Arabidopsis thaliana: one gene and its partners. The protein of the gene in region 1 interacts with the protein of each later gene in a pairwise test. Each region holds a gene or a part of one and is shown on either strand. Other genes may lie near its edges.

Region 1 (6,041 bases):
GGAGTATTTGCACTCGAAGAACATCGTCCACTTTGATCTCAAATGCGAAAACTTACTTGTCAATTTAAGGGATCCACAACGGCCTATATGCAAGGTAACATATATATTGATGAAGATCGTTTTCCCCTATAGACTGAGAATCCTGAGAAACTGCTACTTAAGTATGAAACTCTGATTTCTACAGGTGGGAGATCTTGGCTTATCTAGAATCAAACGTAACACTTTAGTATCTGGGGGAGTGAGAGGAACTCTTCCATGGATGGCCCCAGAACTCTTGAACGGAAGCAGCACCCGAGTTTCTGAGAAAGTAAACTAATCCAACCACTATCCTATTAGTTTCACTAACAACACAACTCACATTTGTTTTCGATCTGAACAGGTTGATGTTTTTTCATATGGAATCTCGCTGTGGGAGATTCTAACCGGAGAGGAACCCTATGCAGATATGCATTGTGGAGCAATCATTGGTAAGTCAAAAACCATCACTCACAATTTCACTTACCTCAAAACAAAAGCCACTCTATGCTCATTTATTTCCTCTTTTTAAGGCGGGATCGTGAAGAACACACTTCGACCTCCTATACCAAAAAGCTGTTCTCCGGAATGGAAAAAGCTGATGGAACAATGCTGGTCTGTCGACCCGGATTCTCGTCCTCCATTCACCGAAATAACATGCCGACTTCGGTCCATGTCAATGGAAGTCGTCACTAAAAGCAAAAGAAGAGAAAATAAACCCTGACTTCAAAACTTCAGAAATCAAGAAAACGACGGGTCAGTTCATCGACATTTTCACATCTATCGAAAAATCTGCATATTTATTCTCATTCTTCAACTTTGTACAAAAACATAACTGTAAATCTCAAAATGTCAAATGTAAATATTATTGCCAACACAGAAGATGAGAAACAGATTTTGCATTGTAAGCACAACAAACTTTAGTGTCTACACATCCTTGTACACGAGCTGGTACTTTGGTATCCTCTCTGGCGGTATTGGACATTGAACAATCATCTTCCCTTTCATTGCTCCTCGATATATAGCCTATACATAACACAATAACAAAAACAGAGTATTTAAATTAGTAACAACTCTTTAAAAGCTTTTAGGAATTAATGAAATTGAATTGTTCTTGTTACCTCAACAACATCAATAAAGTCTTGTTTTATATGAAATGCACCAACCCATTTAGTATGATCCGCAGTTCTACAATATAACCAAACCGGAATTAACATAAACCAACCTAAACCGGCTTTAATCAGCTACTAGAACAAGAGATTAATTAATTACCCAGAATCCAATTTCATATGATGCGCATTGAAGAAGAAGATCGTCGAAGGAAACAACGTGATATCAAAATACTTCACATACACTTGAACATCCTCTGAATCAACATCAACCAAAGCTACCTTAGCAAATTTCGAAACATCTCTCACCGATTTCGCAAGCTGAAAAGAAAAATTCGAAAACTTTAGGGGTTTTGATTAATCGAAATTAGAGAAATCGAATTCAAAGAGAGACGAATTGAATACGATTTCATCATGCTGAAGACAAACGGCGTCGGAGGAACGACCAAATCGTAAAACAAGAACTTCATCAATGGTGTCTCTGATAACCCGATCAATCTCTTCCTTCGTCGTTAACGTCTTCAGAAGATAACTCATCTCGGCGTAAGAATTATACGACATCGTTTAGATAATATAACTAAAGAGACATAAAATAAAATATACGACGTCGTTTGATAATAATATAATACAGTAACTAAAACAGACGGAAAATATACGACGTCGTTTTTTGGTAATAATATAATAACTAAAAGAGACACAGATTAAGCGACGTCGTTTGTGGTAATAATATAATAACTAAAGAGACGCAAGTGCAAATGTTTTTGTGATAAAAACCATAAAAATAAAAATAAGTGGAGAAATCAAAATCATCGATTCTCCTTTGTTTCGCCTAACCCAATTCCTAAATCTCAGCATCTTTCATCAATCCAATCTCTCAAATAAGCGAGAGAGAAACAAAGATTATCGAATCCTTGGAGACGAAAACATACTCCAATTTGTAATTTTCTCGTCTTTTTTTTTACCTGATTTTGTTATACGTTTGATCGAAATCATTTGCTCTGATGGATCTCTGTTTTGTTAACCCTTTTGAGATTTGGTAGATATGGTTTTGAGGATTGATATATTTGCCGCTGATTGTCGTTGAAAAATTGTGAAATTTGATTTGGTGGTTTAGGGTTAAAATGAAATTATATGATGAGGAATATAAGAATCTGATTTTTTTTTATTAGATTCTCCAGATGTTCTTGTTACTTGTGATTGAAACTTTGATTTTGGGTTGTTGTTGTTTTTGAACTTTGGGGATTTTAAAGTTGAATTTTTTTCTAATTTATGCCAAAACGGTCTTCTTCTATGGTTTTGTATTGAACTGATGATTTAGATTTGTTTAAATCTCGGCTTTTGTATATTGTAGTGGAAGATTGAATTTTTTATTTCTTGTCATTGGTTATAGGTTTTAGTTTATTATGATGATGCCACTAGTTGCATGATTACTAACTTGACAGTGGTTTATATGAACATATGTGATAATTTTCTTAAGTTTGATTCCTACTTCTCTTTTGGGATTGTTGTGCAGGTTTTAGGACATTTGGGTTACCCTGAGGCTTAAGGAGAATAGTGGTTTAGTTATTTATACTGAATTTTGTGTCATTCAGACTTTCCGAGGATTTTCTGTTTGGTACCGTTTGCCTCGTCTGTGTTTTCATTTGAGCTGCATCTTAAAGTGAAAGTTCAGTGCTTAAACAGTAATAAAGTAGTATTTCAACAGGCTGCTAATAAGATTGCTCCCTTTCGGTAAGTTTGTTTTCAGCCAACTATCTCTCTTTGTGAAGTTAACAATCCGTTGCTTCTTGTGATGGTTAAGATTCCTCTGGTATGCTTAGTTTCTGTGCTAGTTTCTAGACTATGATGAGTCAGTATAAGATATCTATTTCTTCTGTTTTTGGTGTATCTTCATTTGTTCTTGCTTTGGTTCTGCTGCTACATGATTGTTTTGAAGTTTTGATATTAAGCGATGGTTTTGGTCTTGCAATGTTCCCTTTTTGGCAAAAAAGTAGTATTTATAAACCTCATTCAGTGTTTCTAACTTTCTCGATGCGTGAGTAGCTTACACAGTGCTTAACAAGATGGCTGGTGTAAAGCGAAAATTAAGTACCGAGTCAGATGTTCATGCTCTTCACAAAGAACTGGATGAGGTTTCATGTCCTGTTTGCATGGATCACCCACATAATGCTGTTCTACTGCTGTGCAGCTCTCATGACAAAGGTTGCAGGTCCTACATCTGTGATACCAGTTACCGACATTCCAATTGCCTTGACCGGTTTAAGAAATTGCATTCTGAATCCGCAAATGACCCTACTCCCGAGGCGAACTTGGCTTCAAGGGAACATAATAACGAATCTCTATACGAGCATGGTACAGCCAGTCGAAGCAGTTTTCACCGTGAGTCTGGAAACCGAGGCTCTTCTTGGGATTCCGAATCACTGAGGAGGAGGAGGAGAGTTGAGGAAGAAGTTGAGTCAGAAGATATCACAAATTTGAAATGTCCTCTATGCCGGGGTACTGTTTTAGGATGGAAGGTTGTAGAAGAAGTAAGAACGTATCTTGATCATAAGAACCGAAGTTGCTCCCGAGAATCCTGCTCATTTACTGGCAACTACCAGGATCTGCGCCGCCATGCCAGGAGGACTCACCCAACAACTCGTCCTTCAGACACTGATCCATCAAGAGAGAGAGCTTGGAGGCGGCTTGAGAACCAGAGGGAGTATGGAGATATAGTCAGTGCAATCCGTTCTGCCATGCCCGGTGCTGTTGTAGTAGGAGATTATGTTATAGAAAACGGAGATAGGTTTGCAGGTGAGAGGGAAACGGGAAATGGTGGGAGCGACCTTTGGACCACTTTACTATTGTTTCAGATGATTGGCTCTCTTGACAATGGAGGTTCTAGCGCTAGTGGGAGTGGTGGTGGATCAAGATCCCACAGGTCAAGGGCATGGAGGAATCATCGGCGTTCATCTTCAGATAGGCCGTACCTTTGGGGGGAGAATCTATTGGGTCTACAAGATGAGCGCAATAACAACGATGATGAAGAGTTTCGTTTGCAGAATGATGCAGGCGGTGCTTCTACTCCTGTTCCAAGAAGAAGAAGGAGATTTGGACGTCCTAGATCAAGCGGAAATCATCCGCGATAAGCTGAAGCGTCCCGGTAAAAATTCGATATAAATCATTGGGTTTTTGGTTGTAGAAAAACCTTTGCGATTACTGAAACTGGTTTTGTCTTTAGGTGATATCGATATCTCTCGGGTCAGAACCAGGCCGATGCAAAGGGAAAGGTTTTACTAAAAACCCGAGAGGCTTAGGATTGTTTGGTTTTATGTAAATGTCATTTTGAGCCTTGGCTCATTGTATACTACTAAGTATGGCTTCTTATGCAATGTCTTTTGTTACTTAACTCGTGGATTATTTTCTTTTGCGTTGTGATGAAGTTTGTTATTTAGGAAATCGACCACGTATAAATATTTTATCTAAAAATGGACAATGTAATTATTTTGTTGAAGCTCTTTTTGGTCCAACGTTTGACAAAGATTTAGTGCTTGTTTTTACTGTTTTCCAATGTTTTCAAGTGCTCGCTCTAAGGAGTGTATGATAACACGTGTCAAATAAAACAGCCACGATATTACTCAGATGTCATAATTGTAACTTGGGACCATCAAAACCATAGCCTATAATTGTACTTGAACCATGTAGAGGATTGAGATGAGGCCACGTTTGATAAATGACATGCGGGCATGAAGAATAACACGTTCGATCTCGCAGAGCTCGACGATGGCATTGGAATAAATGACAAGGTAGATTATCTTCTATTCATAAACTATAGTCTATAGTAGTATGGATCCAGAAAAGTAGAAAAATGAACTGTGGTTTATAAATGGTGTATAAAAAGCAGTCCAATCCTTAAACGGATTTGTCCACTCCAACCGCCGCAATTATTCAAACTCTTAGAGTGTTAAAGCATAATTCGGAAACAATTAACAAAAAAATCATATCACATCGAGTCTATCTTAAAATATATTCGATCTTAAATAGGGGTTAATTTCAAAAGGTGTTTGCTTTAGATACAAGTTGTATATATTGGTCTATTTAGTTATCATTAACTTTTCATGATCGTTAATTCTGTAATTATTATTTTTTGTTTTGTGGATTCTTTAGTAATTAGTACTAATATCCATGTGACTCTTCCATGTTCTCCTATACCCTTCACAATATATATATATATTCCAATAACTCTTGATTAAGTAGACCACATCCGGTCATTTTGTGAGTAAACCATTTTTGTTTTGATTACACATTCGTAAGACGAAATGTCATTTGTTCCTCAATTCTTTCTCATGACCAAAACGTCAATTACAAGAGAAGTAATAAGAAAATTTTCTCCCTAGTCTCTTTATTATTCATATCTTATTGTTATAAAATAAAACACATATATATTACACATATCTTATTGTTATGTTAACTTTTCTTATTTCGGTTTTGATTCTTTTTGATATGTTAACTTTTTCGTTATGTTAACATTGATTGCCAGATCGTGGAGACAAGGAAATGAGGTCTTGTATATACAAATTAACAGGTTTCCCTAAGAACCTTGTTAAGAAGACACAAGAAAAAAAGATAGAGAAAACAAGTTTTGGTGTGGTGAATAAACAATATGGAGTACCTTCTTCCGATGATACTCGTAGTTTCCGTACTGTTAGGCGTTGTGTTTGTCTCACTTATTGTTATTGTTTGGATTTACTTTGCCCGCAAGCAAGCACGAGATAACTCCAATTTTTTTGATGTCCCACCGATATAGTTATTTCGCCATTTAACAATTATGTTATTTTTTTGGTTTTGTTCTTTAGATTTGATGGTATTGTAACCCTCTTCAATGTTTTATCAACTTTTATCATCCTGTTCTGAAATCTATAGATTTGTTTGTTACTT
Region 2 (5,019 bases), on another chromosome or scaffold:
CCTATTTATTTTATCAAAAATAACCGTGTAGAAGATATACCTGCCATTGCAAAAAATGAAGGTGAAATGCCTTCCTTAGCAAGGACCAACTCAGACTTGGCCGCCTCAGAAGGGTCAGGCTATTTCACCTATTGAATCTTTAAGGTAAATTTTCTACGAGACTACTCTCTCTGGTGCTCGAGCTTTTACCGTGGTGTTTGCAGCCTATCTTATGGGTTTTGAGTGTCTAAAGTGATTTTCTTGATGAGCTTCTTCTCCTCACAGGGACCGGCACAAGATTTACTTGAAGCAGATTTATATTGCCATTGTATGATGCATCCCTACTTAAGGAGTTTCGTGTAAACTGGTCTCACCTATGTTATCTCTATCATTTAAAGTCCAAAAAGAATGAAAAATGTTGTCAATGATGTTTTACATGTTTTATATCAATACTCAGTACATGTTTCATCAAAAATAACAACTTCAAATCTAGTCACTTGAATAAGTACGAACACAAAATTGCTCGATTCTAGTTGTTAGGAGATATCGTCGTCATCATGTTTAGTTGATTATGATGATAAGTAAAACATATGACAACAAAGTTTTGCTAAATATAAAAAGTGAACAAACTCATGAAGTTGGATATCTGTAAATTATTTTTCATAAAAAATAAGTATTTTCAGGACACAACAAAACAGGACAAAGATAAGAAACTTATGAAAATCTACTCCTTTTACTAGGGTTTTAAACCAAAGCATCATCAGAAGAGGAGGCAGCCAAAAAGCCTTCAATAAAGACAGAATGATCCTTGAATCAAACATGATGAAATTGAAACCAATGAGCAGAAAAATCTCTCGTTTAAAGATTAGTCCATGTACCAAACGTGATGAAACCAAAGGAATGACTATTGCAGATGGCGATAAGTGTTTATCCAAGTGCCCACCTCAAACAAAGCAGAGACGTTCTACATACTCTAAACTATTCTACACCGTAAGACAAGTTTCTTCGAAGCCTGCCTGAAAGGTATTAAATACCTGCCAGAGTAGCAAGTGCAACTCCTCGGCCATTTTAAGTTCAAGAAAAGCAAGACCAGCAATCATCAGAGCCGATGAAGTTTTCAAACATAAGAGCATCTAGATGAGAAGCAGAGTAGATGTGAACTAACATAAAGATCCCAAAGCAGGCCGATCAAAATAACCAAGAAGCCAGAAGCAGTTAAGCAATGAAGCAGAAGTAGTGGTAAACAATTATGAAGATCCCAAAGTAGGCAGATCAAAATAACGAAGAAGCGAGAAGCAGATAAGCAATGAAGCAGAAGTTGTGGTAAACTACTATGAAGATCCCATAGCAGGCCGACCAAATTAACCAAGAAGCCAAAAGCAGATAAGCAATGAAGCAGTAGAAACCTGAAGAAACCTCGAGATGATAGAACAAAAAACAAAGAAAATGCATAGGTTTTTAGCAGAGCTTTTGTTTATGTCTTTTAAGAACATGGGTAGATATTTAAAAGTACTTTACCTAACGGCAGATACAACTATGGCTTCATAATCCAAACGCAATAAGAAGCTTTCCAGCAATTCAAAAGTAGCAAGCATATCCAATCCACCACACAGCTAAAACATATTCTCTTAGTGAAATTCACAGATACTAATTTCCTCTCCTCTTGACGTCACAAGCAAATAGTTGTCTCCTGATCCCATAATTTGCTATCTAGACAAGTAACACTCAGCTCCGGCTTCTGCGCACATCTTTCAGACCATTTCTGCATAAACAAATACAAAAACTTATCAGCCACATGGACTCTGTTTTTTAACACAACGTCTAACAAAAAAGTCTTTGGGACGATAATGCCACTAGTTCAGTTTCAATTTCTTATATTGATTGAGATACAGTAGACTCAAGAGCAAGGGGAGTTTTACCCATTAGCATATGGCACCTCGTCACGTGCTCTATAAGGTGGTGGTGACCTACTGTAGTTGCGACCACGAGGAGAAGGACTACGACGTCTTGGAGGAGGAGGAGATCTAGCACGAGGGCTGTAACTTCTGTGAAACCAAAAGACAAGGTAATAAATCAATGAGGTAGACCAATTTCTTTTAGTTGCAAATCGTCAATCAGAAAGAATAGGGACAATAACCTTCGTCCTCCATAGGTAGGACTCTTTCTGTATCTAGGAGGACTGCGACTACGGCTGCGGCTACGACGCCTACCACCAGAACCACCACGAGAACGACATTCACGTGCAAAGTGACCAGACTCACCACACTCATAGCACTTCAAATCAGAACCACCACGTCCACGACCACCATCACCTCCTCCACGACCACCACCACGACCTCCACCACCACCACGGTTATGAGACTGCTCTACCCTCCATCCATTCTTGCCTACCATAACAATATAGATCATATATATATCAAACTCATAACAACTCATAACAACTCATAAAACCAGACCAGTAGAATAGAAGACCAACGAATACCATCTACTTCACGGATGGCGTCACGGGCATCTCTTGAATCTTCAAAATCAAGAAAAGCGTAACCAGGAGGTCTTCTAGCAACCCAGACACTGCACAGACACCAAAAGAACAATGAGGATAAATGCAAATTCACACACTTTACATCAACTAAAAACCAAAAAGGAGTCAATTTATGTACCTCCTGATCACACCAAAGGAACGAAACTCATCCTCGAGTTCACGTTCAGTAACTCGCGGATCCAAATTACCAACATACACACGCGACATCCTCAAGTTACCTATCAACAAAAGGCTTCAATTCAAAAACTTTGAAAGCGATGAATTCAAAAAGATGAAATCTATAGATCGAAACTACGAATGAATCTGGAGTAAAGAAGTGACAACGGAGATCGGGATTTACCTGAAGAAACGGCTTTGGCTCTTTCTCTTGCTCGTCTGTGAGAAATTAGGGTTATCGATTCGAAATTGAAGATGAAAGTTATTTTTTGTGGGTCAACTTTAAATGTCCTTCAAAAGTTATTCCTTGATTTGGGCTTAAAATGGGCCGCATGCGATATGGTACAGTAACAATAATGCCTCATATTCATGCAATTACTGATTATAAAATTAAAATGTCAGATGTTAAATAATAATAATTCAAAATTAAAAAAAAGCTCTCAGCATATAAAAGGAATTCAAAAAAAAAATGAGTATCACTCTTAAGTATTTATACGATTTTCAAAAAAAGTTGATAAAACTTACCGAAAATACAAAAAAAAAAGAAATTGAAATCTACATAAATCCCCAAAAACTACAACACAACACAAGGAGAAAACACTAAGAAAACACAAGCGAAAACTTCACAAGTAGAGATCCTGAGAAAAACACTGTTTCTAAACCCCAAATTGAAATCTCGTCGTAAATTCAAATTTTAATTAAAAAATATAAAGAAAGCTCTTTTCTATGTCCACTGAATATTTTATGTAAATGAAGAAAGCTCTTTTTATGCTCATACTTTTATGTATATACTAACCCATACATCTCAGATGATGAGGATGAGAGAGGAAAATAAAACTTAAGAGGGAGACTATTTGACCCAAAAAAAAAAAAAAAAAAAAAGAGAGAGACTATTACCTCTAGTTTTTGAACTAAGTGAAGAAAACTATTTCGTTCAAATTTTTATTTATAATAATAATTCACTCATTAAGCATCACAAATTAGACAATAGATGCATCAGCCTATTTGTAGGCCTAACCAATCCTCTACTTTATTCATCGGAATCGATCACTAGATATATAGTCGATAGGCAAACAAAGATATAACCATAAAAACCAATTTTGACACTATTATTTATTTGCGTAATGCTAGTAGGTGTGTACAAATGAACATAATTATGACCATGACAACGGCATGGTAACCACTCATGCCTCGAAGTTCACCTTCTGCTACCAACATATTTCCATCACATCATCCTAGCATTATTAAAGAGGCTAAGATACAACCTTTTAGCTCTTCTAATGCTAATAATCCTAGCATCATCCTAGCATTATTAACTGAGTGCATCTTTAGCTCTTCTAATGCTTTTTCTAGAGAAGAAATGGTTTGAATCACCCTTATTTTACTAATAACATATTTGGGTTTAAGATGAGTTTCTAACTTAAAACCAATTGGCAATGAAACTAATCATTTATAAGTATATTACTTGATAATTTTTCTAATTTTCGAGTGTAACTTTCTCTCATTAACAACTAACCATTCGATTATTTTAAGAACTTTGGTTTTGATACGGTTCAGTTTGGTCAGTTATTAAAATTATTGGGTTTTTTTGCCCATGCCTATATCTCCCAAAATCACAATATTCAAATAAAAACTTTTACCACTTGAACCATGGTTCTAGTTTAGAATGGTTTGTTTGGAAAAGACAATAGAGGCTAAATCGTAATTTTGTGCTTTATCACTTATGAGTTTCACTTTTAAATCAGTCACTTAACAAAAACCGGACGTGACAATATATTATGTCCAGATATTAATTTGGGATTAGCCTATAACATCCAATCATTCCCAAGAGCAATGATATAATTTTGTAGTTTTTTATTTACTATTTAGTGCGCACCTTTCTTGAACCAAGACTCCATTCAGTGACAGGATTAGATAAGTATGTGTGTATTATTGAAATGTCGTCGAGAGTCCACTTGAAGTTTGAACTATGACGACAAGAATTATTCCTTTTCTCTTCTTTCTATTCAGATGGAGAGAAGCTCACCTCAAGATTTTTAAAACGGCACTCAATTACGACTTATTTTGAGAAATAATTAATAAAATTTATAAATTATTACGTGCTCTATTTTATAATTTTTCTCTTTTTTATAGGTTTTAAGACATGAAACACTGCTTCTATGTTTTTTTTTTGGTAATCAACACTGCTTCTATGTTTGGTGAAGACATCTTGCAAATGACATTACATAAATCATAGAAATTAGTTTCGATGTTATTCTAATTAAATCCTAAAATATGGACAAAAAAGAGTGATTCTATTGTTCAAAAAGAAAAAGAAGAGTGATTCTAAAATTATAAGCTAA
Region 3 (5,300 bases), on another chromosome or scaffold:
ATTTGCTTGTGCAAAATTCAATTCCAAAAGGTCTGGTCTTTGTAGGGGAGTTACCTTACGGGTCTAAGGGAGAATTCAGTCCAAAAATGGATCATTTGGTAAGTGTCACTAGCTACTTGGTACTGAAAATAGCAATCATTTCATAGTATTACGCTATTGTCATTCGCTGAGAGATTTCACGAGTTTTGTTGTTCTTGACTTGTGATTCATTCAATTGCTTTTTCTTGCTAGGTATGCTTCTTGCCTGGTACTCTTGCTCTCGGTGCTACCAAGGGCCTCACAAAGGAACAAGCCCTGAAGGAAAATCTTTTGTCCTTTGAGGACCTAGAAAATCTGAAACTTGCAGAAGATTTAGCGAAAACATGCTTTGAGATGTATGAAGTAACTGCCACTGGCCTTGCTCCAGAAATTGCTTACTTTCACACAAAGGTAAGTTTTGTGTGTACTTTTTTCCAAAACGTTATTGTCATCCTTGCTCTTCTTGTTTTTTGTTAAGTCTTGGATTTTAATAAAGCAGGATTACACTGAGGATGGTCTTGATGGTGGGAATAAGAGTTCTATGTATGCAAATGACATAATCATTAAGCCCGCTGATCGACATAATCTACTGCGCCCTGAAACTGTTGAATCACTCTTTGTCCTCTATCGTATCACAAAAGATACAAAGTATGAAAACTATTCATCCGATTTTCCCTCACTAATCTAAGTTCTTGGGGACTATTCTACTCTTAAAGCTAACACATTTCTAAAATTGCAGATACCGAGATCAAGGTTGGCAAATTTTTGAAGCTTTTGAAAAGTACACAAAGGTGAAATCAGGTGGATACACATCATTGGATGATGTAACAGAAGTGCCTCCTCATAGAAGAGATAAGATGGAGACATTTTTCCTTGGTGAAACATTGAAGTACTTATACTTGCTCTTTGGAGATGACTCAGTGATACCATTGGATAAGTTTGTTTTCAACACTGAAGCTCATCCATTACCAATAAGAAGAAACACCTGAAGGCTTAGTTTTGAAGACTACTCCAGACAATACACACACACACACACATACACAAACTTAAGAGAGGGTATGGAGAAAGTGATGTATAGTACACTGCCAATTGGAGAAGAAGTTAGTTCGTTGAGGAAAAAAAGTCATAACTTTCAATGTAAGATAAGCTTCTGCATCCAAATTATAACTTAACTCGTAAAAGTTTTTGCTTGTAGTAGTAGGTTTCTTGAGACTAATATTCTCTCTTTTCGTTAAGCTCTCACTTGGCAAAATGTAATCAGACACAATTGACATGGAGATGAATTATGGTTTTAGTTTTTTATACATACCATTTACACTGCAAGATAAGATCATTCTGATATGACTAATAAACCTTTAAATTTGAGATCATTTGGTCATCTTAGCTCTTTGTAATCTGCAAGGTGTTGCATAGAACATAATCGACTTGAAGTATGTATGAAGACCAAATTAGGCGCACACACACAATATTTTTTTGTAAATCTCCAAACTCATAACTTCATAAAGGGCGACAAGATCATGTATAAGTTACACACTTAAGTCTAGTTGTCAACAAAAAAAGATTAGTGACACAAAGAGACATCAATCACCCAATAAACTGAAACCACAAGAACCCTCAGTAACTGAATATGACACCATTGAGACAAGGCCGAGCACAGTGGAAAGGGTTTAACAAGTGTGGTTGCAACTGAGTAGCTCAATCAAGCCTTTGCTTTTCCTGCCTGGATAGTTTGTAGCCTTTGTTGTAACTTCATTATCTGCAAATATTTTGATTCCATAAATTGAAACCATAGGATCATTATCACCATTTAAAAGCCAAGAAAGTGCAGAAACAGCAAATCCTCATATTGCGCCAAGGCCAGTAGGCCACTCAACGAGACAGAGGAGATAACAAAGTTCAAGTATTTACTTTCCGGGCAGGCTTAAACTGACAACAATAGCTACCAAAGTATCTTTTTAGAGCTTAGTATACTGAGCATCAATGTTTGGACTATTATTGGTGTAGCAGTCCTAGTATCACTAATTCAATGCACTCAAAGAAGTATATAAATGCATGAGAGGCAGATGTCTTACCGTTTCTCTCTTGTTGTTTTGTTTTTCTTCCATATCTTGAAGAATTGCATCAAGCCGTTTCCTGCAAAGGATACAACAATATTCTTGAGGTCACAACACTATAGCTCAAACACTTTATCAACATCTCTCATAGTTGTTACATAGCTAGAAGTGAAAACATTTTAGCTACTTATGAACAGCAATCACTCACTATTAGCCTAGAAAGAAAGAAAGGTTCTTTATTTACAATAACAATCCCAAAATAGGTTTCTCAACGAACTGCATTTGCTTCAATCACATTAAAAGAAAAGAAACTCACAATTCAGCAGAGATGTACTCAATTCGTTTACGAACATTTGCATTAGCTTCAGCCAAATCCTGCTTCACTAACACCGGACCAATCAATTTGTAGACGTTAGCATCTTCTTCCAGCAAATCTAACTCCTGTAGATACAAGACAGACACATAAAAAGATTAAAGCCAATCAACAATCGAAATAAACTTCTCTTTTCAGTTGAAGTAGCCACAAAACTCAGATTAAACAGTGAGACATGAACATATACCTTAAGCACGAGCTCATTCTCACCGAGTTGGATCGTATACTTCTTTCTCAGCTGATGATTCTTCCCGATATCTGAAAATATGAACACAGAAAAGTAGGGTTTCCCGCCTCCAGAAACAAGAAAAGAATCAAATCGAGAAAAGTTACGAGAATCTACGAAACTTGCCTTTCTGGATTTTGCCGAGATCATTAGCCTTGTTTTCTAGGTCTCTCTGCAAATCACGAACAGTCGATGAACTCATCTTCGTCGTCGTCGTCTGCTTCTTCCTCACTCCGGTGGTTTATTGAAAACTCGCAGATCCACCAAGGAGCAGTAACAAAACTCCGTTAAAGCCCCCGTGTTTTAGTAAGGCCCAAAACCGTATTAACTTGGACTTTTTAACGGCCCAATATGCTTTTCTTCTATTATCAAGCCTAGTTTTAGTTACATACAAAAGAAAAACACTATTTATCACTTGGTGACGTAATATCTTCTAGTTCACTGATCATATCAACACTGAACATAACTCTCATAAACACAAATTTTTACTTTTCGTCCCTTTATACCTCAATCTATAACGGGAAAAATGTCGTTTAATACGTGAACTTTAAAAAAATGGTCATTTAATACGTGAACTTTATATATGGTAAATTAATACATACAAAAATCGTTGACTGGCCATTTTACACAAACTTAATCGTTGATCAGGCCAAAATCTACACGACGTTATCTGACATTAACAGACCGATAACAGCCGTTAACTAATCTCTGTTAGTTTCCAATACGACGTCATTTCGATTATCGCAAAAACGGGAAAAATGCCATTTAATACTCCAACTTTCAAATTATGGTCATTTTATACATCAACTTCACATATGGCCATTTTATACATGAACTAAACGTTGACCAACAGTTTAAAAAATGAGAATGTGTTAACCAGGCCAAAGAGACATACCGCTATCTAGGCCTAGGTATTTGAATAAATCCAAACCGAATCCAAACAAAAATCTGAATATCTAGGTCTAGATAGCGGTATGTCTTTTTGGTCTAATCAACGCATTCTCATATTTTAAACTATTGGTCAACGTTTAGTTCATATATAAAATGGCCACATGTGAAGTTGATATATAAAATGACCACAATTTGAAAATTGGAGTATTAAATGGCATTTTCCGTTTTCGCGATACTCGAAACAACGTCGTATTAGAAACTAACGAAGATTAGTTAACGACTGTTATCGGTCTGTTAATGTCAGATAACGTCGTGTAGATTTTGGCTTGATCAACGATTAAGTTTATGTAAAATTGTCAGTCAACGATTTTTGTATGTATTAATTTGCCATATATAAAGTTCACGTATTAAATGGCCAATTTTGAAAGTTCACGTATTAAACAACATTTTTTCAAATCTATAATAGTGAAAAGCCGAAGATTTTACAAAGACATTTTTGTTGTTGTCAAACTAATAATTCACTCCACAGCCTAAAAGAAATAGAGTTGGATCAAAAGTAAAGTTGCCACTTTAGTCTCGCATCTAGCACAGATCCAATGAGAGGGAAAAAAAAAGAGAGAACCTAGGTCAATACTAAAACTTATTCCATCGTGGCTCTACTAATTAGAACAATTAAATACTATGTTACAGTAGAAACATTTCTTTTACTTTTTTTTTGTTATGCGTGCATGGAGTTTTGTCTGTAAAGAGCTTTAAATATAGTGGAAATTAAATGTTGAGAGTTAAAAAAAAAGAAGAAAAAAAAAGACAAGGAGTGAGGAATCTTGGATAAAAGGACACTAACCTTCCCTGTCTTTGCTCGCTGCCCGAAAAGAACATACAGAAAGACACTTTCACATTTCACACTTACAGAGAGAGAGAAGAGAGATAAAGAGAGCATTTAGATATCTTGAGGAAGACGAAGAAGAAGTAGAGGAGAGATATGGTTCCGAGCAACAATAGATGCAAATGGAGTTCCATTTTCTTGTTTCTGCTCAGTGTCTCCGTTGCCGTCTTAGTCGCCGTCGCTGACGACAAGTCTCCGGCGGTTGAGGATGGTACGCTTTTCACTTACCTTCATCAAATTTCTTTGTTCTTTTCTGGTCTCTGCGTGATTGGTTTTTCTCAAAAATGCCATTTAAATAAGAATCTTGTGTTATCAAGATTTGGTTTCTTGAATCCAACCCATCTCTGTTTCAAGAACAGAGGACCAAAATAATTTAGTTTCAGATGATTGATTTAGTTTTTATCTGGATTTTGAGTGTTTAGATTTTTGGGGGTTTTCCTCAATTTCACTTCACTGTTGCTAAGATTTTTAAGTTGAGTTTTCTTCTTTACTAAAGATTAGAAATCTGTTATGTTAATGTCTAGTTTAAGTAAGTAAACAGTGTTAATCGAACCAGTAATGCTAATCTAGTTAAGGTTATCTCATAGTCAGGGGAAAAACTGTCAACTGAATTTAATCCGTCACAATAGAAAAGAAAATGAAAGTTGTATGGGTCTATTTGTCAATTAAGTATAAAGTATCTTATTCGTGCTTTCAGCGGCGGCAAAATTAAAAAGGAAGCCCTTCTTAAATCTTCCTTAGCTTCAATTAACAAATAACAAACACACACCAACAAAACCCTGAGAACTCTTTTTTTTTTTTTTTATGTGGATATTAATTTAAAGATCTGATTTCATAAAGAAAGTTGTTTAG

What was found.
Region 2: the proteins of AT3G24740 (region 1) and RSZ22a interact in a two-hybrid assay, tested with the Arabidopsis thaliana proteins (one large-scale study listed by BioGRID).
Region 3: the proteins of AT3G24740 (region 1) and PFD6 interact in a two-hybrid assay, tested with the Arabidopsis thaliana proteins (one large-scale study listed by BioGRID).

What each region holds. Positions count from the first base shown.
Region 1 is NC_003074.8:9,029,210-9,035,250, forward strand, and holds AT3G24740 (cellulose synthase, putative (DUF1644)), read left to right. Parts: upstream 1-1,868; 5' UTR 1,869-2,061; intron 2,062-2,065; exon of another isoform or gene 2,066-2,637; 5' UTR 2,638-2,855; exon of another isoform or gene 2,856-3,167; 5' UTR 3,168-3,187; coding exon 3,188-4,252; 3' UTR 4,253-4,266; exon of another isoform or gene 4,267-4,344; 3' UTR 4,345-4,635; downstream 4,636-6,041. Other genes in the region: AT3G24715 (kinase superfamily with octicosapeptide/Phox/Bem1p domain-containing protein), read left to right, coding at 1-94, 185-307, 380-467, 549-739; AT3G24730 (mRNA splicing factor, thioredoxin-like U5 snRNP), read right to left, coding at 943-1,041, 1,137-1,203, 1,288-1,445, 1,530-1,685.
Region 2 is NC_003071.7:10,447,546-10,452,564, reverse strand, and holds RSZ22a (RNA recognition motif and CCHC-type zinc finger domains containing protein), read right to left. Parts: upstream 2,935-5,019; 5' UTR 2,862-2,934; intron 2,740-2,861; 5' UTR 2,729-2,739; coding exon 2,640-2,728; intron 2,551-2,639; coding exon 2,462-2,550; intron 2,367-2,461; coding exon 2,117-2,366; intron 2,025-2,116; coding exon 1,899-2,024; intron 1,742-1,898; coding exon 1,705-1,741; 3' UTR 1,381-1,704; downstream 1-1,380. Other genes in the region: AT2G24600 (Ankyrin repeat family protein), read left to right, coding at 1-135. UniProt on the Arabidopsis thaliana protein: Probably involved in intron recognition and spliceosome assembly.
Region 3 is NC_003070.9:10,505,239-10,510,538, reverse strand, and holds PFD6 (prefoldin 6), read right to left. Parts: upstream 3,007-5,300; 5' UTR 2,874-3,006; coding exon 2,798-2,873; intron 2,704-2,797; coding exon 2,633-2,703; intron 2,514-2,632; coding exon 2,389-2,513; intron 2,152-2,388; coding exon 2,091-2,151; intron 1,775-2,090; coding exon 1,718-1,774; 3' UTR 1,388-1,717; downstream 1-1,387. Other genes in the region: MNS3 (alpha-mannosidase 3), read left to right, coding at 1-98, 232-429, 518-666, 758-1,007; AT1G29980 (choice-of-anchor C domain protein, putative (Protein of unknown function, DUF642)), read left to right, coding at 4,545-4,659. UniProt on the Arabidopsis thaliana protein: Binds specifically to cytosolic chaperonin (c-CPN) and transfers target proteins to it. Binds to nascent polypeptide chain and promotes folding in an environment in which there are many competing pathways for nonnative proteins.